Linked DNA regions of Sus scrofa. The protein of the gene in region 5 purifies or fractionates together with the protein of the main gene of each other region. This does not show direct contact. Links are inferred from orthologs where the notes say so. Each region holds a gene or a part of one and is shown on either strand. Other genes may lie near its edges. The genes, in order: INSIG1, TMUB1, RNF170, CANX, ERLIN2 and TMEM259.

Region 1 (4,167 bases), on a different chromosome or scaffold from region 5:
TCAAGTCAGTATAACTTAATCTTGCCCTTTAAGGTTAAAAGCTAAATAAGTGAAAATGTACTATGGAATTTCTCCCCTTATGCCCTTGACGGATGGTTTAAAAAAAAAAGTGAGTAAGGTATGAGAAGTTGTGTTTCAGATATGCCTGGAATTCCTTGAAGCTTCAATTGCAAATCAAGCCTAAACTAAAATGGTTCAGTGGTTTTAAAAATCAAGCTTTTGATTCAAAGAAACTATTGTGCCAAATGTGAATAGAAAGAGATGTTTCTCCAAAAGGATTAAGAGTAGAGCCATGAACTTAAAGGGGTTAGAAAAACAACAGTAGCCAGTGTTTCTGAGAACAAAGAGAAAAACCTTCCACTCTCTGCTTCATCACCATAGTGTCCCCGTCATGAGGCATCCTGCCTAGGACACAAGCTCCACTCCAAGCCCACTGCTTCCTTGCAGTTTGAAGTGAGCCTGCTGAGAAGACGCCCCTCTCCAGGGTGCAGGGGACACACCCAGACTCCAGGGGGCAGTATAGGCAGGGTTGCGAACGGGGACCTGTCACTCCGCTGTGCCCCTGCAGACACAGGAGCTTCACCTCTCTGATTCAGTTCTCGCCTCTGTGCAGTGGCGCTGAAGCAGAGCACTGCTGAAAGGACCAAAGGAAGCACAGCCTACGGAACAGGAGGCAGGGCGCTCGTTCCCTGGTGGCCCGTGGGGCCGACGTGGCGCTTTCACCGCTGCAGCCGGGGTTCAGTCCCTGGTCTGGGAACTGAGACCCCACATCAAGTGGCTACGCACCGCGGCCAAAAAAAGAAGAAAAAAGGAGAAAGATCAGAGCCCGCGAGGTCGGCAGTTCACAGAGGGGAGCTACAACGCGAGGCTGTCCGACGGGAGTGTCTGCTCCGTGCTTTACAGCCAGGCGGGCGGAGGCCACAGAGAGCACCCGGCAGGTGTCCATTCATCCATTAATTCGTCCACAGCAAATGCTGTGTGACCGGAAGAACTGAGTGACCTTCTGAGCCATTTTTATAAAACCAAATAACTGAGCAACCAAATAACTGAGCAACTCTACTCCAAACAGCCAGTCCACCTGTCCACAGCAGACTGCTGCCCCGGGGTCACGACTGGGTCTGGCCAGGGTGGCTCCTGTCCAAACTCTAAACAGAGACTTCCTTTTCCTTCATCCCAGAGCCCAGCGGTGGGGGCAAGGCCAGGCTCTGGCCACGTTCACTGGGCTGTTCCAAAAAAGGAAGAGCAGGAGGCCGCTGGGCTGGGGCAGCAGCTCTGCCCACTGGGCCCACGTGACGGTTTGTTTTCAGTTACCGGGCCGGTAGCGTGTTCCCCGGGGCAGCCAATGGCACTCCAGCCCCGCCGCTCACCAGTCCTGCCCGCGGCCAATCCGGGCAGCTGGTTAGGATGACAGCTGCGGGGCTCCCCCAGCACTGGCCTCAGGGCCGGGTCAGGAAGAGGGAAGGACCTGGCCAGCCTGGCACGAGCGGGCGAGAAGCAGCCAGTGGCCTCCCCGCCATCTCCACCACCGGGCCTCCTCCAGCCTCCAAGCCCCCTCCCCAAACACAGTCGCTGGGATGCACAGTCTCCTCTGTGGATGGTTCCATTTTCACACAAATGGTTCCCACAGGCTGAAAACCGCTTTTCACCAGACAGACGTCGTTTGTTTCTACTCACCAGCGGCCGTCCCACAGCAGGGAGGGACCCACCAGGCTGAGGAGAAGATGGTGGCAATAACCTCCTCGGGGAACAGGGTGACATTCCTCTGGACCTGCAGCAGGTTCAGCACCAGGGCCAGCACGACCCCCACCGAGAACAGCACCAGGCTCCTCTGCAGCAGGTGGTGATGCCAGCTGTTGGTGTGGCCGCTGCCACCATGGCTCCCCATGCCAGTGCTCTGAGGCGCATGAGAGGGGTCAGGGCCCTGGGCACCGTGGGCCACCAGCAGAGAGGGGCCTGACACAGAGGAGCTGATCATCTCCCCCACTTTGGCCTCCTGCCCTCTGGCACTGGCCCTGGGGTGGCCTCTGTGGTTCGTGCCCTTAACACAGGGACAGCTCCAGAGGTGGTCGTCCAGTCTGGGCATCAGCCACACCTGACAGGCTTTCCTAGAAGGAAAACGGGGGTGGGGAGAGGGAATCCCGATCAAGTTCACTTCCAAGGGACAGGGCAGGTTCAGAGAGGCCCAGAGACATGGCTCTGGGCACGTTCACTGGCCAGGAAAACCCCCGAGTCTCAGGGAGTCAGCCGCACAGGGTAGCCCACGGGCAAGTACTGCGGGGGAGGGGCTGCAAGGACCCTGTCCACACCCGGGCCCTGGGTGATGCACAGGCTGCAGCCACAGCCAGGTGTTAGCTACACCTGGGTGATCCCGCTGCAGTACCTCCTTGTATGAGCCCTGAAGTTCTGGGCCGTACAGTCCAAAAGTTTTTCAGAATCCGCCCGTCTGCAGGAGGCAGAGGCCAGCCAGCGGCAGGCCGCCCCAGGACAAGTTGCTGGGGTCGTCCCGGACGGAGAACAGCCCTGGCAGAGCCCACCTGATGTCGGGGATGCAGTCCCCCACCCCGCGGCTGGGGCTGGAGTCAGGGTGCGCACCCAGGCCCGAGGGTGGGTGCTGAGGACCCCAATGGAAGGCCGTCTAGAGGGGCGGCTGCCGGGACCTCGACATCCCCGTCCCCAGGGCTCCCCACCGCTCCCGGCCCAGTTTCCCTTGCCGCACCCTCGTACCTGGCCAAGGGCGCCCGCCCGCGGGCTCGCCGGGGGAGGAGGTCGCCGAGGAGAGTCGCGGCCCAGAACGCCTGGAGTTGAGCCCGCGGCCGTCCACGCGCGGCGCAGCTTATAAGGCGGGCGGTGATACCGCTGCTCACGTGACCCCGGCCGGGCCCGCCACCCCGCCCGCGCTCTCGGGGCGTGGCCCATGCGCGCCCCGCCCCGGCCGCGCGCACGGCCGCTCACGGTCTGGTGAGGCGGCCGCGGCCAATCGTGGGCGGGCGGCCCATATGACGTCATCACACGCCACCGCCGCCCCGAGCTCGGCGCACTGGCTCGGGAGCGCGGACGGCCGGCGGCGGACTGGCTGTTCCCGGCCCGGGACGGGGGCTGGAACTGGGCGCGGCCGGACGGGGCGGGGGCGGGGGCCGCACCGACGGCAGGCAGGGGTCGGCCGAGAGCATCCGGGGCCCCGGGTGGGAGGCGCCCCGCGCAGGTTCCCGGCGGACCGCGGAGAGAGGGCGATTTCCAGGGATTGGCAGCCGCGGGCCTGGAGTCCGGCGGCTGAACAGCTAGGTCGCCGGACCCTCACCCAGGCGTGGCGGTTGGCAAGCCTCTCCCCTGCGGCCGCTCCACTTGGTCACTCTGCAGCCGCCTGTGCCCTGAAGATGCTCTGACCTCTGGTCCTTGTCAGCTCTCTCAGTGGTGGCCGCACCTGCTCATGCAAAGCGGGTTCGTGTGCGCAGCGACCAGCAGGTGCTGGCAGGGAGCGAGGGCTCGGAGACGAGAGCTGTGTATGCTGCGTGCAAGGATCTAGGTGTTGTTAAGGGTGCTTTTATGTTTTTCTGCCACCAGCGTGGTTCAGAAAACTTTTCTGACATAAAATACTTACGAAAATGTAAATGATGAAATCGTCATTCATAAAATCGTTTCTTCTCGTTTCGAATTGTCTTTCAGTGGGAAACAAACCATCAGAACCACTTAGAAAAAATAGAACGCTGTTTTATCTTGTTGATGTAATGTATTTATATCCTGTTTGCCCCATGGTCACACCATCTAAATAGCAGGGCAGGCCCTGTGCCACCTGGAAACCCACATTTTGTTGAGCAAGATACTTAAGATGTCCTGGAAAGACAGTAGAGCAAGTGTGCGGCCTTTTCTCTCTGCAGGTGAGAGGAAGTCTGTGCTCTAATAGGGTCAAGAGAGCTCACAGGCTTAGGCGGTGTCAAGTACTGCATTGTGTGGCATCGTACCTCAGGGTTTGTGGTTTTTATGGCAGAAGGTTGGAAAAAACCTTCCTGAGGTATCAACATTTCTCAGACTTCATTTTTAGGGGCTGATGGGGTGGGAATTCACATGAATTTGTGATGGCCATCAGGAGACTACAAAGAAAAGCCATGCCTGCAGTGGATGGCTCACTCTCCTGGCCCCCAAGGGTGATCCGTTAGGTGACTGGTCAGG
Region 2 (4,246 bases), on a different chromosome or scaffold from region 5:
AATCGCGGCACGGTCCTCCGCCAGCGGAGACGTGGCTCCCGTCAGGCCCCGCGCGCCAGGGTGCCGCGCGCCCCGCCCCCTGCTTCTGGGAAGCTGCGCGCGCGGCTCCGGGGCGGGGGCGGGACTAGGAGCGGGGCGGAGCCCAAGGGCGAGGAGCCGAGGATGCAGCGAAAAGCAGAGGGGAAGTCGGCAGCCAGCCTGGGCAGGTTGGGCAGGGCGAAGTGCCTGGTAAGTGGGAGCGCCCAGCACGGAACCTAGGACCGTCCGGCTGCGGATCCCGCGTTCTACCGTCTTTCTCCCAGTGGGCAGGAGCTCCCTGCCCCACGGGCCCACACAGGCAGGCACACACCAAGAGTGAAAACTTCACAGTTATTTAATCTGCACATGTTCCAGAGAACCCCCTCCTTCCCACCCACGCTCCCGTCCTTGGGTCCCTAAATCAGCTCAAGATGCTCTCAGGGACTAGAGGTGGCTGGGTTTTCAGGCAGAACACTAAGAAGGGCCTAGGGGCGTGGCCGGGCTCTGCCCAGGGCCGAGGCAGCGACAGCAGCTGTCTGACCCGGAGGAGCTGACTGTCCGTGGGGGCTGAGGGCCAGCAGCCCCAGAAGGTGGCCCAGAGCCATGAAGGTCACAGGGAGGGGCCTCCGCCGGCCCCCGGAGCGCTCTGCGGCGCAGGGCTGGGCTCCAGGGTAGTGGGAAGAGGCAAGTGGGAGAGGCCGGCCGGGGCAGACAGCAGCTCCCACCGTGTCGTGGGGAGCAAGGTCCGGAGGGGCCAGCGACACTGCCAAGAGCCCGTGGAGGCACTACGGGCGGTACATGGCAAAGGCCAGGAGACTGAGGAGTAGGGTGAAGCCGGCCAGACCCAGGGTGGCTGTCAGGGGAAAGAAGGGCCGGTACTGGATCTGGCAGTACCAGAGCAGCAGCAGCAGCAGCAGGAGCAGGGGCAGCAGGAGGCTGCCTACCTCCAGCCCGGAGGGGCCTGGCTCTGACCCCGGTGGGCAGGGTGGGTGTGGGGGACCCACCCGGGTGGACACGTGGCAGTGGAGAACGCAGTTGGGAGGGAGGTGAAGGCTGCCCAGGGTCTGGGTGTCGTCTCCTAGCAGCTGCCCTTGGTAGATGAGTCGCACGTGCTGCTCCCGTCCGGGAAACTGGGTCCTGAGGAGAGAGGGACCTGGGTAATAGAGCAGGTCTCAGGCAATCCTGGCCCCTCGCCCAGAACAACTCTCTCACTTCTCTCCTCCACCTACCACCCAGGGCTCCCTCCGCAGGGGCCTCTCCTGCTTCAGAGGAACAATACCGTGTGAGTGGCTTGGGGACCTCAGTTCCCATCAGCATCTCTGGTGGCCCTTCCACGCTGTGACCATTCCCACCCGACTCATTACCACTTCAACCCCGTCCTCTTCCCAGCTTACCTTTTCAGGGAGCCAATGGTGTCGTGGGGCCAGGCCCTGGCCACCTGCTCTGAATCGTTGAGGAATTTCAGCCGTAGCACGAGGGGCTCTTGGGGGGAGTCCTGGGGTGGCGGTGTGGCCGGGAGCCCCATGCCAGACTCTGGCTGTGCAGCCTGACCTCTGTGTCTCAGGCTCGGGGTCTCAGCTCCTGGGGCCTCCCCTCTGATGCTGTCAGTGACCGCCATGGCTTCGCTGGGCTGTGTTGATGGTGGGGTCCCTGATGGCTGGGACAGTGGATCCACGCCCTCGGCAGTGTGTGTTGAGACCCAGGCGAGAGCCAGCACCAGAAGGCAGGCAAGCACCGCGAAAAGGATGGTCACCTCATCACCCACCCCTTCAATCAGGGCCATGGCACCTGCCTTGCCCGCTGGGCTACCGAGCTGGAGAGGCACAAAGAACCCATGAGGGGCTGGCTCAGCCTCCAAGAGCCCTCTGAACTTCAGGGGCGTCCGACCCCACCCCACTACAACTCTCCCACAGTCCCAATTCCTTTGCCCACTTAGCCACACCCCACCCTGGGACACAGACTGCTCTCCCTCTTGCTTGCCCCAGACTTGGGTCACATGCCCCTTCCCATCACCAAACCCCAAGTCCTAATTTTTTGTAACCTAAGTTCTAGGTCTTTAACCAGCTCTCCAATTCACCCACATCCTACTCAGAGGTCAGGCCTTGACCTTCTAAGCAACCTCTCCCCTAAATTCAACCCCCATCAAACTTCACCCCAAAGCTTACCTATTCTTTCCATCTAATTCATCCCAAAGTTTATCTATTCCTCCATCACTAAAGTTTCTCCAAGGGGGAAGAAAAAGGTCTCCAGACACACACAGACACACAAAAGGCTTTCCTCCACGAACACACACACACACACACACACACACACACACACACACACACACACACAGCACACCCCCGCCCCTTTACTATTTACCCAAACCTCCCACCCGTAACACGATACAGTTTCCTAAAGCTTCCCCACGTCGAAACGAGCCCTTTGGCAAACTGGAATCTCCGAGGGTCGCTGCTCCCCACCGCAACTCGGCCCCCCTCGGTCCACTCAAACTCCACCCCGAGTCGGCCCAGTTCCGCGCCTCCTCTTAGACGCCTCTCCAAACCTAGCCCGCAGCAGGACCCCAGATACCGCCGGAATCCGAGACTTTAGCCTCCCCACCCCCATCCTCCATCACCCCTCCCATCTTCCCGCCCGCCCCCCAACCCCAGCGGCGGGAGTGCCAGACCGATCCCGGGGCGGGGCGAGCGGGGGCCAGCTGGCGGGGGCGGCGGGGTGGGCGCGGTCAGAACGCAGGACTCACCGCCCGGCTCCGCCAGCTCCATAGCGGACCCTCGGGCACTTCCGGGCGGGAGGTGGCGAGGTCGCAGACACCTGGAGGCACCCTCCGCTTCCCCGCCGTGCGAAGTATTGTGGGACTTGTAGTCCAGCGCGGTGCGCAGTCCCCGCCTTCCGCGCTGCGGATCCACGGGCAGGACTCGGCTGTCTCGTCCCAGTGCCCGCAAATTGCTGAGGGGACGGCGGGGTTGGGTTTGGGGGGTGTGCTCTCCCGTAGAGGTTTGGGCGACAGCAGGGACAGCCCCCTGCCCGGGGCAGTTGGGGCATCTGTTACTCCAGAAACCAGCGTTAGCTGGAGCTTGTTAGAGCACCACTGTTTCCAGAAGCAGCATCGGGGAAGCTCGAGTGGATCCTACCTTGGCCTACTCTTCTTTCTTTTTACAGCCGCACCTGCGGCACATGGGTGTTCCCAGGCTAGGGGTCGAATAGGAGCTGCACCTGCCGGGCTGCACCACAGCCTTAGCAACACCAGATACGAGCTGCATCTGCGACCTACACCACAGCTCACAACGCTGGATCCTTAACCCTCTGAGTGAGGCCAGGGATCCATGCCACATCCTCACACTGTGTCGGGTTTTTAATCCGCTGAGCCACAACAAGAACTTTAAGTCAGAGTGGACCCCAGAAGTCATCCTGGATCCTCCAAATTGACTCTTCAGCCCAGCGCCCAGTATCCATGGGCTTCCCCACCAGGCTGGCCACGGTGGCTTGGGCTGCTTATTTACCAGGTCCCCTCCTCCCCTTTCCCCCGAAAGACTGTGCAAGAGGCATAGACTTTGGAACGTGGCACAAATGCTGATCCCTTATCCTGTGCTTATCAACTATGTGACCTTGGGTGCTTTACTGAATGTCTTTGAACCTAAATTTCTCTGTTCCCAACACATACCTCAAAAGGCAATTGTGGAGTTCCTGTTGTAGCTCAGCGGGTTAAGAATCTGACTAATCGACCCCTAGCCTGGGAACCTCCATATGCCACAGGAGTGGCCCTAGAAAGGGCAAAAAGACAAAAAAAAGAATCTGGCTAGTATCCATCAAGATGCAGGTTTGATCCCTGGCCTCACTCAGTGGGTTAAGCATCCATCGTTTCCATGAGCTGTGGTGTAGGTCACAGACTCGGCTCTGATCTGGCGTGGCTGTGGCTGTGGCGTAGGCCAGCAGCTGCAGCTCCGATTTGATCCCTAGCCTGGGAACCTCCATACGCCTCAGGTATGGCCCTAAAAGAATAAAAAATACAAAAAAAATTTTTTTAAAGGCAATTGCAAGAAAAATTAGGTGTTTTATTAAATAAGTGTGAAAATTATGCAGAGGAGCTGTCACACGGTGGATATTTGTTCACTTAGTATTAGAACACTCCTTCCACCCAGATCTTAGAGTGTTGCTATGTAGGGGATGTCGAGCCTCAGCCTGGCCTGGGCCCATTCCTTTCCGTGGGTTTTTCTCTCCTTTCTCT
Region 3 (3,500 bases), on a different chromosome or scaffold from region 5:
ATGATCGAGGCCAGGGATCGAACCCGAGTGCTACTCGAGTTCGTTACTGTTGAGTCATAATGGGAACTCCTATTTTTTTTTTTTTTGCCTTTTTTCTAGGGCCGCTCTCATGGCACATGGAGATTCCCAGGCTAGGGGTCCAATCGGAGCTGTAGCCGCTGACCTACACCACAGCCACAGCAATGCGGGATCCAAGCCGCGTCTGCAACCTACACCACAGCTCATGGCAACGCCAGATCCTCAACCACTGAGCAAGGCCAGGGATCGAACCCGAAACCCCACAGTTAGTTGGATTCGTTAAGCACTGCACCACGACAGGAATTCCAATGGGAACTCCTTAAAATGATTTTTTTTTTAAGTTCAGTGGTAGTTCTTGACTTTGAATCACTGATTTTCAGAGAAACATCCTAAGAAACCAGTAGTGGACATGTAAGAAAATTGCTGGATGAGAAAGAGAAGAGGCTCCAAACAGCTAGGGAGGACAACAGTGACTGGGTCACACTTCTCTTGTTGTTTAAACTTCTAAAAAGATCTGCACATTGCCATCCACAACAGGTGAGCCTGTATGCCTTGAAATGTCCATGACATCACAGGATGATGGACAGTGTGTACCAAGGAGCACAGGCAGTCACAACTGTTTAATACAGAAGCATTTTAACAGCATCTATTCTTGGCTGGGAGTCGTGGTATCCATCCTATCTTAAGGATGATAACCATTAATTCCACAGATGTTAAGGGCCCATTATATCCCAGGCACTGAGACTATAGTAATGACTAACCAGGGTCCCTGCCCTCATGAAGCTTGCCTCCTGAGAGAAAGGTAGTGAACAAGGCTGAGGGCAATGACAGAGACCATCCTGGTTGATCAGGGCAGCCTCTCCAAGAAAGGTCTACATAGGAACGCCCTGCAGGATGAGAAAGCCAGGAGAGGAGCAGAGGGACATGCAATCCAAGCAGAGCAAAAGGCACGCATGAGGCATGAAGGTGGGAGGCGTGGAGCATGTCCTGGGGAGGGGGAGGGGGACCGGACCGTCTTTGTAAGCTGCAGCCAAGAGTTCAGACGCTATTCCAAAAACTGGAAGCTTTAAAATACAAAAATATCATGGCCTTACTTGTGTTTTCAAAATATTACTCAGGCTGCTGTGCAGAGAAAAAAAACTCCAAGCGAAGAGGCCATTGCAAGTTGGCTAAGCAAGAGATGGTGGTGGCTGGGACTAGTTTGATGGCTATAGACACAGGACATTCTTATGAGATAAAAATGTCAGGATCCCCCCAAAAGAGAAAAGACATGATCTCTGACTTCTTCAGAGATCAGAGGAGGACATCAAAACTGAGCTGAGTGGTAAGTTCCCATCGTGGCTCAGTGGTAACAAACCCAACTAGCATCCACGTGAGGAAGCAGGTTCGATCCCTGGCCTCACTCAATGGGTTAGGGATCCAGCGTTGTTGTGAGCTGTGATGTAGGCTGCATACGAGGCTTGGATCCCTTATTGCTATGGCTGTGGTATAGGCTGGCAGTTGCAGCTTCAACTAGACCCCCAGCCTGGGAACCTCCATATGCCATGGGTGCAGTCCTAAAAAGCAAAAAAACAAAAAAAACAAAAAACAAAGAAAACCCACTAAGCTGAGTGACTGGGAACAGGGCCAGGTTGTCTGTGTTAAGCCTGAGATGCCAGGAGCATCCTGGCAAGATGGAGGCTGAGCAGGGGAACATGGGAGGCCAGAGCTTGGAGGACAGCTTAGGCTCCCCATGTGAATTTGCACTTAGTATGCTCCGGGTCTCGAAATAAATGTTCAGTCAGACACACACTTCTATAATTCTTTGTTAAATTTTGAGAAACCTGGGATGAATCAGTATAATGTGACAGAATTTTAATCTATCAAATGCCTTTTGGGGGAAGAGGAGCAATTGTAGAATTGATATATTCTTTAAAGTGGAATGCTTTTGAATAGCTGACATAGAAAACCCCCCAAACTTAGGGTTACTAAAGGGAACATTTCAAACTGGGGGCCAGGGTAAGTAAAATAAGAATAAAACACAACGGTAAAACTCCAGAAGTTCTCAGCTGTAAGTTTCTCACATGACAAACCCTATTTCAAGAATTTTACATTTCCTTCCAATTTTTTTCTATTGCTGGCATCACTTCATAAAGTTTTATAATGCCCTTTTTTCCCCTTAAGATAGAAAATTGTAGTCCTTGGGAAAGCTATAACTCAGTAAGGACAACAATGATGAAGGTACAAACTTTATGCAAGACATACAGATTTTTCAGAATCAAAGAACATCTGTCGGTAAAACCTCAGTATACAAAGGAGAAGTATCATTACATTTTAACTGTGCACCTGCTGTATCATTACTTACAGATCTGGGCTGCCCTGAGAATCTCCGATTATAATCATTAACATCCTGATGCAGTGATATTGCGTCCTGAGACTGGTCATTTTCACCAAATACTGTTAGGAGTAAAGTTACCTGCATATTACAGGGGAAAAAAAAAAAAAGAAATTGTTACACTTTTCTGTACCAGTGATTTTTTTCACTTTATTACTATTCAGTAGAATGAGAAAAGCTTCCAAATTGGTATTTTGCTCATTTCTTTTGACACAGGCACCACAGGGGAGGAAAGTAAGTTATCATTGCCTTACAAGAAAACCCAATTCAAAATATAATGTGAACTCCTGTAACGTAAAACGGGCACCTTATTTAAATATTTTCCAATCCATGACAGGGATAAAGTCAGTAGTTTTCTCTTTGGGCTAACAGATATTTAAAGATATAACAATGATGAGAAAATATTCAGGAGCAAAATGACAGAGAAATATATACCTATAACTTTGAGAGAGAAAAATTAGGGATTTCTTTTTTTTTTTTTTTTCTTTTTTTTCTTTTTTGGCCACACTCACTGCACTTGGAAGTTCCGGGGCCAGGGACTGAATCCGAGCCATAGGTTGCAGCTGAGGCAACACCAGATCATTTAACTCATCGCACTGGGCTGGGGATCAAATCTGAGCCTCTGGAGAGACCTGAGCCACTTTTTTTTTTTTTTTTTTTTTGTCTTTTTCGAGGGCCGCACCCATGGCATATGGAGGTTCCCAGGCTAGGGGTCCTATCAGATCTGTAGTTGCCGGCCTAGGCTAGAGTCACAGCAACGTGGGATCAGAGCCACGTCTGTGACCTACACCATAGCTCAAGGCAACTTCGGATCCTTAACCCACTGTGCAAGGCCAGGGATCGAACTCAAAACCTCATGGTTCCTAGTCAGATTCGTTAACCACTGAGCCACGACAGAAATTCCTGCAGTCAGATTCTCAACCCACTGCGCCATTGGTGGGAACTGCTAGGGATTTCATTTTTGATTAAAATCATGATTCCTTATCCTTGCTGGTACTTGAATGATCTTTGAATGCAACCAACCATTAATACAGAGATGATGTTATTGCAGGAACCAGCTCTCAAGCACCCATTTCTATCACAATCAAAAAGGTAATACTTGATACTG
Region 4 (4,013 bases), on a different chromosome or scaffold from region 5:
AGGCCAGGGATTGAATCCGCATCCTCACAGACACTATGTTAGGTTCTTAATTCACTAAGCCACAATAGTAACTCCTGGAGGATCTTATTCATGAAATCCGTACTGTTGGAAAATGCTTCAAAGAAGCAAACAACATCCTGTGGCCCTTCAAACTATCTTCTCCTGAAGGGCCCAGATAAATAGATCTAACAGGCTTATTAAATGGATGAACTGAGTTGTCTATGTGATTATTTTTGTAATCTGGGTCAGTAAATAAAGTGACTTCAAATTGTGAAAAAAACAAACACAAAATTCATTCTTCAGAGATTTGGCCTCAGCTTCCTTTTAAGAACATTGTGCTTTAACGGAAAAAAAATCTCTAACAAGATCCTTAGTAGGATCTACAGTCCTGCTCTGTCTCAGGCCCAGAAAACTGAAGATGTGCTAAAAGTTAGTTACAAAATCTGTGGTGTGTTTGAAAATTTTCCATTGCACCATCTTTTTCTCACTCACTGCTGTTAAGTGTGATTGTGCCCTTTTTGTCTTATCTTGCTTTTGGAAACATCACAAATTGAAAGTTGAAGTAACGCTGGATTATAGTATTCTGGGCTATATTTTGACGTTGGGTGATAAGGCGGCCTCAGACTGCTGGGCCCAGAGCAATGACTCTGCAGGAACGGTGGCGCCTGGTGTACAGCGACTCCAGGACAGGCCAAGGGAGCCGTGACTGATTCCATCATATCTGCGCACTCGCTGCACTGGAAACCAGGTCCTTCCCGATGGCTCAATGGACCTCCCACCCATCCTGCCAGCTTCCATTTGCTCTCTCATCGAAGGGAATGAGATGCCAGACCCCGAGGCCCGGGTCCAGGCACCTGAACGGTCGAAACCATAGAAATTAGGATGCAGTGCCGGGCAGCGCGCCCACTAAGGCACCAGAACAACCAGCGCGGGAACGCCTGCCTGGCCAGTCCCGCCCCACGACGCGCGCGCGCGCGCGCGCGCCCCCGCCGATCCCGATGCCGCCGTACACCGCCTCCTTCCATACTGCCCAACCAACAGCCACTTCCTGCCTCACTCCTAACCAATCCCCACACTCCACGAAGAATAGCCCTAGGGGGCGTATGGGAAGGTGCATAGAGCGATGGCCACAATAACCAATTGAATTCAGGATCTTGCGCGAGAGGGCGGGACTTGGCGCTGGTGGTAGCTACTGAGGAGACAGGGGCGGACGCAGGGCCGGGCTTCGTGCGGTGGGGCTCGCTCGCGCGGCGGCTGCAGGAGTCGAGGCCTCTTGGTTCTGCGGCACGTGACGGTCAGGCTCCCTCAGCCGCTGTCTCCACTGCAGCGTGGGGCCAGGTGTGCGGGCGGGAGGAGGCGCGGGCACCACCGGCGGTCCTCCTGAGGCTTGAGGTGAGACAGGGGCCTGCCCGTGTCTTCGGGCCTGTGAGGACCCTCGGGGGCCTGGGTGCGCGGCCTGGCGGCGGAGGTCTCGAGAAGCCGGGCGTGGCCGGGGCTGAGGGGTCCGGCTGAGTTTCGATGGCTCAGGCCCTGGTGGACCCGCCAGACGGGATGGGTTAGGCCTGAACCTGGGCCGCTTGAGTTGCGGAGCCAGGCCCAGGCCGCGCCGCCGGGGTTGGGAGGCGTGGCAGGTGTCCTAGAGCCTTTCTTGACCTCTGGGAAAGCTAACTTCTCTTCATGGTTCTGCTTCTAGGGCTTTCTTATACCTATTGCTGACTGCCTGGGAAGCTGTGAGGTGGGGTAGAGTAACCGGGTAAAGGTCTGGAATAGGATCGGGCCTTGTTGGTACTCTTAGTAGTGGGGAAAGGTGATAATAGGACAGAGAGAGGATATTTAGAATTAGCATTACAGATCTAAAATTTGAAAATTAAAACCGCAAAGTGAAGACTGGACTGTAGCAGCCTGAAGAGTATGGAGAATGTGCTAGAACACGCACTGGTTAAAAAACTTAAGTCCTAACATTTACATCTATTTGGAGATTGGGGGAGTAAGTAATCTCGTCGTAAATTCAGTGGGCTTTTAAAAGCAGGAAAGCACCCAAAAGCTCTCCGTGGGCAGGTCGTTTTATAGTGAAGGAAACTGAGGCCCAGAGCTCAGAAATGATCGGCCCAAGGTCATGCGATTAGTTTTATGATCACGTTGGAATTACAGTTGAAAGCTAGGCAGTTTGTGTGTAGTGGTTAAGACTAAGGCCCTTGTTCAGGTCCTTCATCAGCCATTTGTTGCTATGTGAACCTGGGCAGTTCACTTCGTTTCAGATAATGGATGTAATACCTGATAGAGTTGTTGTTACCATTAAGACGTGTGTAAGAAAGAGCAGGAAAGTTAGATGTACATTTTTAACTGCTTGATAAATGACTGCAGTAAATTATTATGGTGAATGCTGTTGATCCACTACACTAACATCCTAATTAGCTAAGTCCTATTTTCCAGGACCTGAAGTCACATTTATGGAAATAGGAGGAAGAAACTGGACCTAGTGGTTTGACTGCTGATTGAGGGAAGTTAAACTGAGCTGGATATTAATTAAAAGCTTGGGAGGAGAAAGGTGAACCACAGTTAGGTCTCTTTACCTCTAATTTAAGAAATAGAACCTTTTACTTAATTTCTTAATGGGTAGAATGGTGTGGGGAGGTTTTCGTTCTGTTTTGTTTTGTTTTAAGAGGGGAACCCCGTTGATCTTCAAGACTGTTGTGTACCTCACTCTTTTTTCAGTACTGTTGAAGGGTCACTGCTGAGTTGTATATTTGCTGTAGTTAGAGCAGAGGTAAAGCACTGTGTGGGAGTCCTCCTGTGCACCAGTCTGTGTGCACAAGCAAACAAGCCAGGAAACTGGATCATGAGGTGGCTACAGTGAGCTGTGTATTGGAGTAAATGTGTTGCACCGCAGATTTTCTGACCTATCCGATAATGGGTGTCAGCATCCCTTCCTACTTGACTATCTCTCCTTAACAGTTTCAGCTAACACATTATCTTCCAAAGAGTAAACGTTTTGACAGAAGTTGTTGCTGCAGTTTTGGCAATCCTGCTATTGCATCCTTTCAGTTACAGAGTTCACTTTGCCCTGAGAGATAGCTTAAGGGAACGAAGCGACAGTTGGTAAGCATAAATGCAGACTCAAGAGACTTGAATTCCAGGCCCAGCATGGTAACTAGCTTATGAGCTAAGTTGGTTTCTATGTCTTTAAAATTGGAGTGAGGAATCCTCTGACTACCTACCTTACCATTAGGGGGCTTTTTAGGAGGGACAAGTAAGATGGTGAACATGAAACTACTTTGTTTTTTTTTTGTTTGTTTTGTTTTTTGTCTTTTTGCTATTTCTTTGGGCCACTCCCTCGGCATATGGAGGTTCCCAGGCTAGGGGTCTAATCAGAGCTGTAGCCACTGGCCTACGCCAGAGCCACAGCAATGCGGGGCAACGCGGGATCTGAGCCGCGTCTGCAACCTACACCACAGCTCACGGCAACGCCGGATCGTTAACCCACTGAGCAAGGCCAGGGACCGAACCCGCAACCTCATGGTTCCTAGTCGGATTCATTAACCACTGCGCCACGACGGGAACTCCCATGAAACTACTTTGAATGGAATAATGAACTGAACTGTGCAAAGAAGAGCTGGCAGCTCATAACAACTCCTAGAAAATAATAAAAGTGCCTGAACATAGTTATAACCTGTAGACTTACTGTAGAATTGCAGGAAGGTACAGGTTGAATATTTTGTTGCCTAAAACAGATGTACATTTAAATTAATCTTAGCTATGAGCTGTGAAAATTATTTGGAGAATTATGCTTTTTAGAGGATTTAGAATCTTCAGCAGCGTTTGAGTAGCCACCTCTTAAACCTTCTTACTTTATAGGAAAAAACCGCTATGGAAAAATAGATTTTAATGTTCCTGTCAGTGAAAAGCAAACTTCAAAACAGTAAACTAGGAAACTAGGCAGTATATATCTATTTTCAAGTAGATGGGCATTTACAATAAAGACCACTTTGAATTTTATGTACTTTCCCCCCTTT
Region 5 (4,121 bases):
CATCAACACTGCTTTCTCGGAAGCACTGTAAACATCTATTAGACTGACACGTGCTAGAGTCAGGTCCACAGTTCCTTTTCCCCGCTCTCAGCTCGACCCCAATATTCTAGGAAACCCAATGGTAAAACCTAAAACCATTATTTGTGTTTTTGCAGTGAAAAAAATAGGCAAAGTGGAATCAAGAGAGCAGAATCCATGGCTATACTTAAGACAGGAGAGGAGGTCTGTCTTATCTTGCCGCATCTGTTGAGCTGGTGGTGATCCGTAAGGGTGTTAAATCCAGTAATATGGTGATCAGTTGATGGTACTAATGTTTGAGTCCAGGGACACGAACAACCAAAAGAATAAAATTTAAGTACACTTTATAAACCATCAACATATTTTTTTGGCAGTAGAATTACTTTTCTAATCAAGTTCTATGTAAATGGCAGTAAATTTAAAAGCAGTATTTGGGGATGTAGAATCAGAGACAGGAAGAAATAAAGGGGAGAGGGGAACCCAATCGGACGTTTAGAACTTGCCATTGGCATCCAGAAAAAAAGCATCACAGGGCACAAATAAGAAGGGTTTGGTAAAGACTTAAAGCAAAATACTTGGTTAGGGAGGTTACTAAAAGGAAAGCAACTCAAGATTTATAAATGCCTCTTTATTAAGGCAAAGATGTATTTTTTTCCTTTTTATTGCTGCACCTGCAGCCTATGGAAGTTCTTGGACTGGGGTTCCAATCAGAGCTGTAGCTGATGGCCTATGTCACAGCCACAGCAATGCTGGATCTAAGCCATATCTGTGACCTACACCACAGCTTATGGCAACATAGGATACTTAATCCACTGAGTGAGGCCAGGGATCGAACACATACCCTCCTGGAGACTATGTTGGGTCCTTAACCCAGTAAGCCACAATGGAAACTCCAATAAAGATACATTTTTTTTTAAAAGAGTAATGAAATAAAGTGACCATAATGGGTTACTGTAAGAACCTAGAGTTTGCCTTGATGGATGTGAATCAACCTGCAGTCTCTTTCATTTTTCCTGAAATGTCAATTTTCAAGAATAGGTCTAAATTACATCAAGAACTGGTCCTCATTAGAGGTAAGCTTGTGGCACCAAGATGCCTAGAGAGAAGTAGGAGCAAACACTGTTTCAGATGATCTTCAAGGAACCTGCTTGCCTTTAGGTTTTATCTCTAAGTCTCTATAAATGTTTATCAATCACCATCCATGGCATCAACTTAGACCACTAAGTTTTACTTTCATGTATGTATTTGTGTGTGTGTTACTTCCCTCCCCATGGCCACTGACACAAAAGCTCATTCTAAAATCCTCCCCTATTCAACAAAATACAAACAGAGATAGCAGAATCTGTTAAACATTGACTTGGGAAGAGTCATTTAACAGGAAATTGCGCCTGCTGCTGCCTTACCTGTAATACACCCCAATATGCCCCTCTTCTATCTTGTGCACGGCTGAGAAGAGAGATGCACAAAAGAAACTGGCAGCCACAGCCACAACTGCTCCCAACTGAGCCATCAGTGAAAGTTTATCCTGGGGAAAAAGAACGGGAAAACGTGTGCCGTCCGACTTGAGGGAGAAAAGCTCTGACCCTGAGAGCACCTCTCCAGGCTGGGCGCTTGAAAGTGGTTCCCATCCAGCCCATAGTAGTATGAACAGAGGCTAGATCTACACCTCTCCTCATCCCTGCTCTCAGTCGACACTCCCATCCATTCCTTAACTGTGGAATGATATTCCCCACCTCCTGGAAGAGGCAGTGACTCCAGAAACAGCCCTGGCCCAAGGGAAAACCAGTGCAAGTTGGTCAGCGTTCAGAACACAGCCTTCTCTTCCTGTGAACACGAAGGGGCTGTCACCGGAGCCACTCATACTAGTAAAAGAGGAAGAGAAGCAGCTGCAGTACGTTGGCCCAAATTACAGAGCATGTCAAATGACAGGCAGTTGTGGCTGTGTAATTCTGGTCAGAGACTCCCAGTCCTAATTGCCTGCCATTTCAAAGGAAACCATTATTTACTCCTTTCAGATGCTGGAGCGACAGAGACAGCATACGAGCGGAGTTCCATGGCGGGATTCTCTGGCCTTTCATTCACTTTCCCAGTTATTCCTTTGGCCCTAAACAATGCAGGGCTCTGAGCAAGACTGAAGCCACACTCCCTCCCATATGCTTGACCGGTGCTTTGCACCTGGCAGGTTCCGCAAGCTCATGGTGAGAGCAGAAAGCGGGTTCTTCAGGCTGGGGAGACTCTGGGCTCCGGCGTCCAACTGCATTCAGACACCAGGACGCGAAAGAGCTGGCATCCAGGGACTCATTTCCTGAACACTGAACGATCTGCAAAAACTAGGGTAACTGACAGCGAGGTTCCCAATCGGGGTGCCGGGGCCCACCCGCGCAGGGCGTGGACTCTGCCTCCTGGGTCTAACTTAACTCGGGCGCAGACGTCTGCGAGGCGCTTATTTTACCGTGTGGCCTCCAGCTACCGATCTGCAGCTGCGTCCTTTCTACAAAAGCCCTTCCCTCCCCCGAAGTCACCCCCGCCCCACCTCGCGCTCCTTCCCTGCCCTTTTTGGAGAGAGGGTCGCAAGTCCCAAGAGCCCTGGGTCGGGGCTGGAGGCTCCGAGAGCCTCCGCTCCGTCCCGCCTAGGGGCTCGCGGGAAATGGAGGGGACAGAAAGGGGTTGCTTTCTCGCTCCCAAGGGAGAGAGGATGCTGTGCGAGGGCCTGGGAAAACGATGATCAGCTCCGGCCGCGAGCCGCAAGGAGGCCCAGCGCGCGCACTAAGAGGCGGGGGCCGCGTACCAGGCTGTCCCTCCAGGCGCTCCGTACTCGTCCGAACCCCAGTGCAACCGCAGAAGCCGCCACACCCCTCAGCGCGCTACTTCCTTCCGGGCCCGTCGCTTCGATGACGCCATTAGTTCACGCGAGAAGACCACACCCCTTCTCTCCCTAGTTCGCCAGCCCCGCCCCCGCGCTTCGAGAGGTCGTTGTCCGAGGATTGCCGCCAGAGGGCGCCCGTGACTCGGTCCCGGCGGTCAAGACGACCGTCAGGAATTTCTGGGGTGGGGGTGGTGCGGGCACCTGGAGAGTGACCCCAGGGGCAGCACCAGTGGCTGCGGGAGCTGAGAACGAGGTGTCACTTTCCCAGGCTTTGACTTTGGAGTTTGCTCTGGATTCCCTTCCAGATTAGGCCAAACCTGTTCCTATTTTTTCAGAGCAGGTTATCCTTTACAACCTTCCTAATTCTCTGCTCCCCTTTTTCAAAAGTGCAGATAAGCACCATTACGTCGCTAATCAACAGACACTACTTTGAATTGCCCTTTATGCTTTTGTAGGAGCTTTGGCCTTTGAGGTCCCCGCAGCACCATAAAGCAGATTGAGGGAATTATCTTAATTTTAGTGAACAAAATGTAGGTTCAGTGAGGCGCGAGGATAGCCGTGGATGAAAGCCTGCTTTGCTCTAACGTCGGGAGCTTAAGGGCCTGGTAACTTCTGCTGCTTGTCCGTACCTGCTCGCTAGGCTCTAAGTTCCCTGTGGGCTGGGGCTGCGTCTTCCCTCAGCATCCCTGGGTGGGCGTTTAGGTGCCTGGCAAAAACAAACAAACAAACAAAACAACCAAAAAACCCAGACTGCAGCGCAGTGGAACCAGGCCCAGCGTCCAGACCTTGTGTCTCCCAGACCGCAGCCTTCACTGGTCGACAGCATAACATTGGGGCATTTTTAATTCAGCCACTGAAGTTTTTTCGAAGAGACAGTCCACTTAATTACAGCCTTGGTTACAGGGAAAGCTTTTACACAGGGAAAATGGCACCCTGGTGGTGTTGGTCAGATTTAGGACACAGGAAAAGGAAAGTGTAGGTTTTCCAGCCATTGTTGCTTGGGGCTGGCCTATTTCCAGCCCCCACCACCCCTCACCCCTGGGAGTTTGCTCTGGGTGAGTATGTGTTGAGAAGTTTCCTTATTTGTTAAGCCCATAAGTGGGCCGCAAGGCACTTCCTGAGAGTTCTGTGCCCACCTTCATAAATGAGGGTCTCTCCTCTCCTGTTCCTGCACTTCTGGCACCCCACCCTCACCTCCCGGCCGATACACACTTGACCAATTTCCAGATTGATCCTC
Region 6 (4,225 bases), on a different chromosome or scaffold from region 5:
TTTAGCTCTCCTTTTGCAATTAACAAGTGATCTGGGGGTGATCCATAAGAGTATCAAGCATGTGCACTGATTGAGTGCCTACTGATATGCCAGGGCGCACTATGAAACTGAAAGTCTTCACTCCAGGGAGTGGGATTAAACTGGCAGGTAGGTTTGGAAGGTTCCCTCAGGTAGGTTCCAAGACACAGCTGAAAAGTCTCCCCCTCCCCCGCCCCCACCCCCAGTGCAATTCAGAAGAGACCCCCTCCCAGGGCCTGGTTTTTCTCAGAAGCCCTGTCTGTGCCTTTCACGGTGGGGTGCTCACCATTGGGAACCAGACCAGACATCCACCTCAAGAGGTCCGCCTGTCTCCTGCTGGTCCCTGGGCCCTGTGAGGGCAGAATCCAGCCTGCACTGGCCACCGCTGTGTCCCCAGCACCAGCGCAGGCCCTGGGGTACTGTAAGCCACTTCCCTGAAACGTCTGAGCAGGCTTTGGGAGTCCTTCCCCAGGGCCGACACTCAGGATGCCTGAGCCCCTGGTCTCCAGCTCCATCTGCCCTTCCGTGCTTCCTGAGAAAGCCCACCCATACCTTGCTTTGGAACCTGGCATACAGTAGGTGCTCAACGAATGTTGGGACTGATTACTTCCTTGGTTACCAGGAGGAGCCAAGGCGTTTCAAAGATGAATGAAGGAGCGAGAATTTGGTCCAGACGTGTCCACCCAGGCTTGGCACCAGGCGGCAGCCAGGAGGAGGGGATGGTTGAGGCTCTAAGAATGCTTACCTCGGTTTCAGAGTCTTTTTCAGGGACCAGGTACACATCACTTGGGCCAGGGAGCAGAGAGGGACCCACTGAGCAGCCCGGGTCACAGAACAAAAAGCCAAAGCCAAGAGCGCTAGTGGGCAAGATCTGGATTGTGAAAAAGAAAAAAGCCTTTGCTTCAGCCTCTAGAATGAAAACAGCGCTCAGTAAACGACACAACCTGGGCCACCACTACGAAATGCTGGAAGGTGAGAGCCGGGTAAAGCCCGGAAACACCACACACGCTAATAACGTTACGAAGCACCCTTTCGGAACCACCGAAAGCGAAGAAAACAAAAGCCATACTTCCCGGGACATTATTTAAAGATCCCAATGCGATCACTTTACAGTTAGGGCAACCTAACGTAAGCGCAGCTACAGCATAATTTTCTAGAGCGCCACAAAGAAAACATCTTCACCGGTCACATTTACCTTACGTTTATTTTACCACCTCCAAAATCCTTATATGTTGACTAATTTTATCGCTCGCCTTCCAGCTGCATGGGCAATATGCAAAAGACCTGGGGACTAACGCAGCCCCGCCCCTAGGCGTTCCGAGCCAGGCGTCAGGACGGTGGGCGGGGCCGCCACGGGCCGACCGCCGGTATCCCGGCGTTCCGCGCGAGCGCAAGGAGGCCGCTCTTGCCCGCGCCGCGACTCGCTGGCGTCAGCTGGGGCACGGAGGCGGAAGATGGCGGCTGTAGCCCTACGGCCGTGAGGAGCGCGGCGGCGGCGAGGACTGCCGATGGCAGTCGGGAGGCGTCCTCGGGGACCCGCGGGCCGTTAGGGCGCGACGCTGGGCGGCATGTCGGAGCACGCGGCGCCCGGGGCACAGGGGCCCGGGCCCAACGGTGGCGGCGGCCCGGCCCCCGCGCGCGGGCCTCGCACCCCCAACCTCAATCCCAACCCTCTCATCAACGTGCGCGACCGGCTCTTCCACGCGCTCTTCTTCAAGATGGCTGTCACCTACTCGCGCCTTTTCCCTCCCGCCTTCCGTCGTCTCTTCGAGTTCTTCGTGTTACTCAAGGTGACCGCAGCCCCAACCCTTGACACCGGTAGCCGGACCCTTCCCTCAGATCTGCGACTTTTGATCCCGCCGGGGGGAGCGCGCCCCTCCCACCCGGAGGCATAGACCCGGCCCTACCCGTTGGGACCCTTCCCTTTAAGCCTGCCATTCCCGACCCCCTGCCTAGAAACTTCCAACCGCGAAGGCCCGAGGCTCATCCGGTTAGTGGCTCCTGATCCCGACTCCAGGAACTCACTCCCAGCCTTTTCCAGCCGCACCCCACCCCTGGCCTCGCCCTTCCCCGCGTCCCCCACCTCCGGAGGCTGGAGCCCGGCAGTCCAGCTCCAGGACCTCCTGGCCCTGCCGCCTGGGATTCTCAGCCCCGGATGATCCTTTCCCAATCCTCCGAGTCTGGCCTGGCCCAGCCCAGAACTCCAATCCTGGAGGATTCCAGGTTCCACCGCCAATGCCCCCTTCCCAGGACACACCCCCCTGGCCTCCCACTGCACCGAAAGCTCCTCCCTCTTTTTCTTAGGGCTCTGCTTTGGTCCTTCAGCTTGTTCCCACCCCCATTCTCCCTGCTCTGAACCTCCCGGGGGAATGTGACCTAGCTGAGGTCACATCGCCAGGGCTAGTGACAAAGTCCCAGCCGGTGGCGCTGCTTGTGGCACAGTGAGGGACCTCCTGGGAACCTACTGCCTGTCCTGCCTCTGGTGGCAGAGCTTTCAGCTGGGAGGATAGTTCTGGGAGGACGGGTGTCTGCATGGGTCCTCCAGGAAGGGGTCTCACTCAGAAGGAGCTCACTGGGTGCCAGGGTCCTGGTTGCCATTTCGTTTGGTGTCCTGTAGTTACTGCCAGGCTGGGGTGGGAGTGCTGACATTGGAGTAAGTTTTGGATCCTTCATCTGCAGAAAAGAGGCTGGTGCTGACGGTCAAGGTACATGGAGTGCCAGCCAGGTCAACTTGGTTGGTGTGGTGCAAAGCGAGCTAGTGTGGCTGTCCCACAGACCTGGGTGTGGGTTCCAGCCCCGCCACAGCCTCCAGGGAGACCCTGAAAGCCCCAGGCCTAAAGTGAGACTGACACATGCTCTTTGCCTCACAAGGCTGTGCGGAGCCTGCCTGCCTGCCACCCACCCCCCAGAATGGCAGTCATCCCCTTTCAGAGGCATGGAGTGAGCCTCTGAGGATCCTGAGTTAGGATGTCTCTATCTGGCTCCTGGGACCCAAGAATGGCTTGAATGGAGGGAAACCCATGCATGGAGTGATTTCCTTAGGAAAGGGAGGATGGTTCTCCCCAGAGGAGCCCCTGCCAGGTGTGCCCTGTGTGAGGTGGGCCCCCTCTCCAGAAGTTCAGCCTCCTCTGAGAGCAGGTCCTGTACCGCTTCCTGATTGAGGAGCCAGGCAGGGCAGGGCTTGGGGCAGGTGGGGTGTGTATCCATTCTACGTCCCTGGTCCCCTGCATCTCCTCTCTGGACAGAGTGCAGCCAGAGGGGTTCCTTGCTCCCTGTGAACCTGCCTGGCCCCTGGTGGCTTTGGTGTCCTCCAGTGGAGTCGGGGCAACTGATCTCTGAAGCAGTCTCAAGTACCAGAAAGCTCTGCCTCGTAGCTTCCTGCCTTGTAGCTTCCGGGCTCTTGCTGCAGAGATGAGTTGCAGAGATGAGTTCCCCTGTCGGACTTCCTCACGCTGGCCTCTTCCTGGGGCACCTGTTCTGCTGAGCTCACTGTCGGCAGAGTCAGCCCAGCTCCCTGCTGTACCTCGGGTGCTTCTGGGGACTGGAGTCCAGGGCCTTTGGGGAGCAAGAGGTAGGGTCCAGGCCTGTGTTTGAGGCAGACCCCTGCTGGCCTTGGCTCCCACCTCTGCTGGATCACCCAGTACCAGGCCAGGGGCAGCAGGCCTGAGGTGCCTGAGCCTGTACAGTTGGACTCTGGGCCCTGGGGAGTCTGATCCTGCTGCCACTGAGCGGACACCCACAGGGTCATGGGGCTCTGACCAGGGCACCTTTGCCATTCACTCCCTCTATGCCACCTCTCACCAGTCTCTGGGACCCAGTGATGAGTGGGCTGACCAGGAGGAGAGGGTGACAGAGCAGCAGGGCAGGAGCTGTTAGGGCAGGCATCCTGAGGCTGTGAGGAGGTGGGCGGCAGGAATGGTGTCTGTGAAGGCCTTGGAGCTGGCATGGCGGTGTGGCTAGAGAGGTGGGGCACAGGGTCATGGAGTGCCAGGGGCTGGGGGCTGGCGCACCCAGGGCCAGTGAGGTGGCCAGGAGAGGCCCTGGACAAGACTCCTGAGACCCTAGAATGGAGAAGTGGGCAGGGCTGCTGGGTCCCTGAGTGGGCCCCAGACCCCACCTTGCCTGGGTGGATGGGACTTCCCTGTGGCAGACGATGACTGAAGTTTTGTCTGCTAGCTTGTTCCATAATAGGGAAACTGGCCCAGAG

The links.
Region 1: the proteins of ERLIN2 (region 5) and INSIG1 purify together in Homo sapiens (affinity purification with western blotting; 4 studies listed by BioGRID and IntAct, with this or other methods). This does not show direct contact. The link is inferred for Sus scrofa from reciprocal best matches to the Homo sapiens genes ERLIN2 and INSIG1.
Region 2: the proteins of ERLIN2 (region 5) and TMUB1 purify together in Homo sapiens (affinity purification with mass spectrometry; 4 studies listed by BioGRID and IntAct, with this or other methods). This does not show direct contact. The link is inferred for Sus scrofa from reciprocal best matches to the Homo sapiens genes ERLIN2 and TMUB1.
Region 3: the proteins of ERLIN2 (region 5) and RNF170 purify together in Homo sapiens (affinity purification with mass spectrometry; 4 studies listed by BioGRID and IntAct, counting the BioPlex papers as one, with this or other methods). This does not show direct contact. The link is inferred for Sus scrofa from reciprocal best matches to the Homo sapiens genes ERLIN2 and RNF170.
Region 4: the proteins of ERLIN2 (region 5) and CANX purify together in Homo sapiens (affinity purification with mass spectrometry; 4 studies listed by BioGRID and IntAct, with this or other methods). This does not show direct contact. The link is inferred for Sus scrofa from reciprocal best matches to the Homo sapiens genes ERLIN2 and CANX.
Region 6: the proteins of ERLIN2 (region 5) and TMEM259 purify together in Homo sapiens (affinity purification with mass spectrometry; 3 studies listed by BioGRID and IntAct, with this or other methods). This does not show direct contact. The link is inferred for Sus scrofa from reciprocal best matches to the Homo sapiens genes ERLIN2 and TMEM259.

The regions. Positions count from the first base shown.
Region 1 is NC_010460.4:2,895,959-2,900,125, forward strand, and holds the start of INSIG1 (insulin-induced gene 1 protein), read right to left. Parts: upstream 2,801-4,167; 5' UTR 2,725-2,800; intron 2,106-2,724; 5' UTR 2,084-2,105; coding exon 1,675-2,083; intron 1-1,674. UniProt on the Homo sapiens protein: Oxysterol-binding protein that mediates feedback control of cholesterol synthesis by controlling both endoplasmic reticulum to Golgi transport of SCAP and degradation of HMGCR.
Region 2 is NC_010460.4:6,141,005-6,145,250, reverse strand, and holds TMUB1 (transmembrane and ubiquitin-like domain-containing protein 1), read right to left. Parts: upstream 2,801-4,246; 5' UTR 2,762-2,800; intron 1,832-2,761; 5' UTR 1,802-1,831; coding exon 1,413-1,801; intron 1,156-1,412; coding exon 804-1,155; 3' UTR 356-803; downstream 1-355. UniProt on the Homo sapiens protein: Involved in sterol-regulated ubiquitination and degradation of HMG-CoA reductase HMGCR. Involved in positive regulation of AMPA-selective glutamate receptor GRIA2 recycling to the cell surface.
Region 3 is NC_010459.5:11,783,421-11,786,920, forward strand, and holds part of RNF170 (E3 ubiquitin-protein ligase RNF170), read right to left. Parts: intron 2,474-3,500; coding exon 2,363-2,473; intron 1-2,362. UniProt on the Homo sapiens protein: E3 ubiquitin-protein ligase that plays an essential role in stimulus-induced inositol 1,4,5-trisphosphate receptor type 1 (ITPR1) ubiquitination and degradation via the endoplasmic reticulum-associated degradation (ERAD) pathway.
Region 4 is NC_010444.4:78,913,025-78,917,037, reverse strand, and holds the start of CANX (calnexin), read left to right. Parts: upstream 1-1,213; 5' UTR 1,214-1,392; intron 1,393-4,013. UniProt on the Homo sapiens protein: Calcium-binding protein that interacts with newly synthesized monoglucosylated glycoproteins in the endoplasmic reticulum. It may act in assisting protein assembly and/or in the retention within the ER of unassembled protein subunits.
Region 5 is NC_010457.5:48,659,721-48,663,841, forward strand, and holds the start of ERLIN2 (erlin-2), read right to left. Parts: upstream 2,801-4,121; 5' UTR 2,097-2,800; coding exon 2,025-2,096; exon of another isoform or gene 1,544-2,024; coding exon 1,422-1,543; intron 1-1,421. UniProt on the Homo sapiens protein: Component of the ERLIN1/ERLIN2 complex which mediates the endoplasmic reticulum-associated degradation (ERAD) of inositol 1,4,5-trisphosphate receptors (IP3Rs) such as ITPR1.
Region 6 is NC_010444.4:77,392,216-77,396,440, forward strand, and holds the start of TMEM259 (membralin), read left to right. Parts: upstream 1-1,425; 5' UTR 1,426-1,586; coding exon 1,587-1,808; intron 1,809-4,225. UniProt on the Homo sapiens protein: May have a role in the ERAD pathway required for clearance of misfolded proteins in the endoplasmic reticulum (ER). Promotes survival of motor neurons, probably by protecting against ER stress.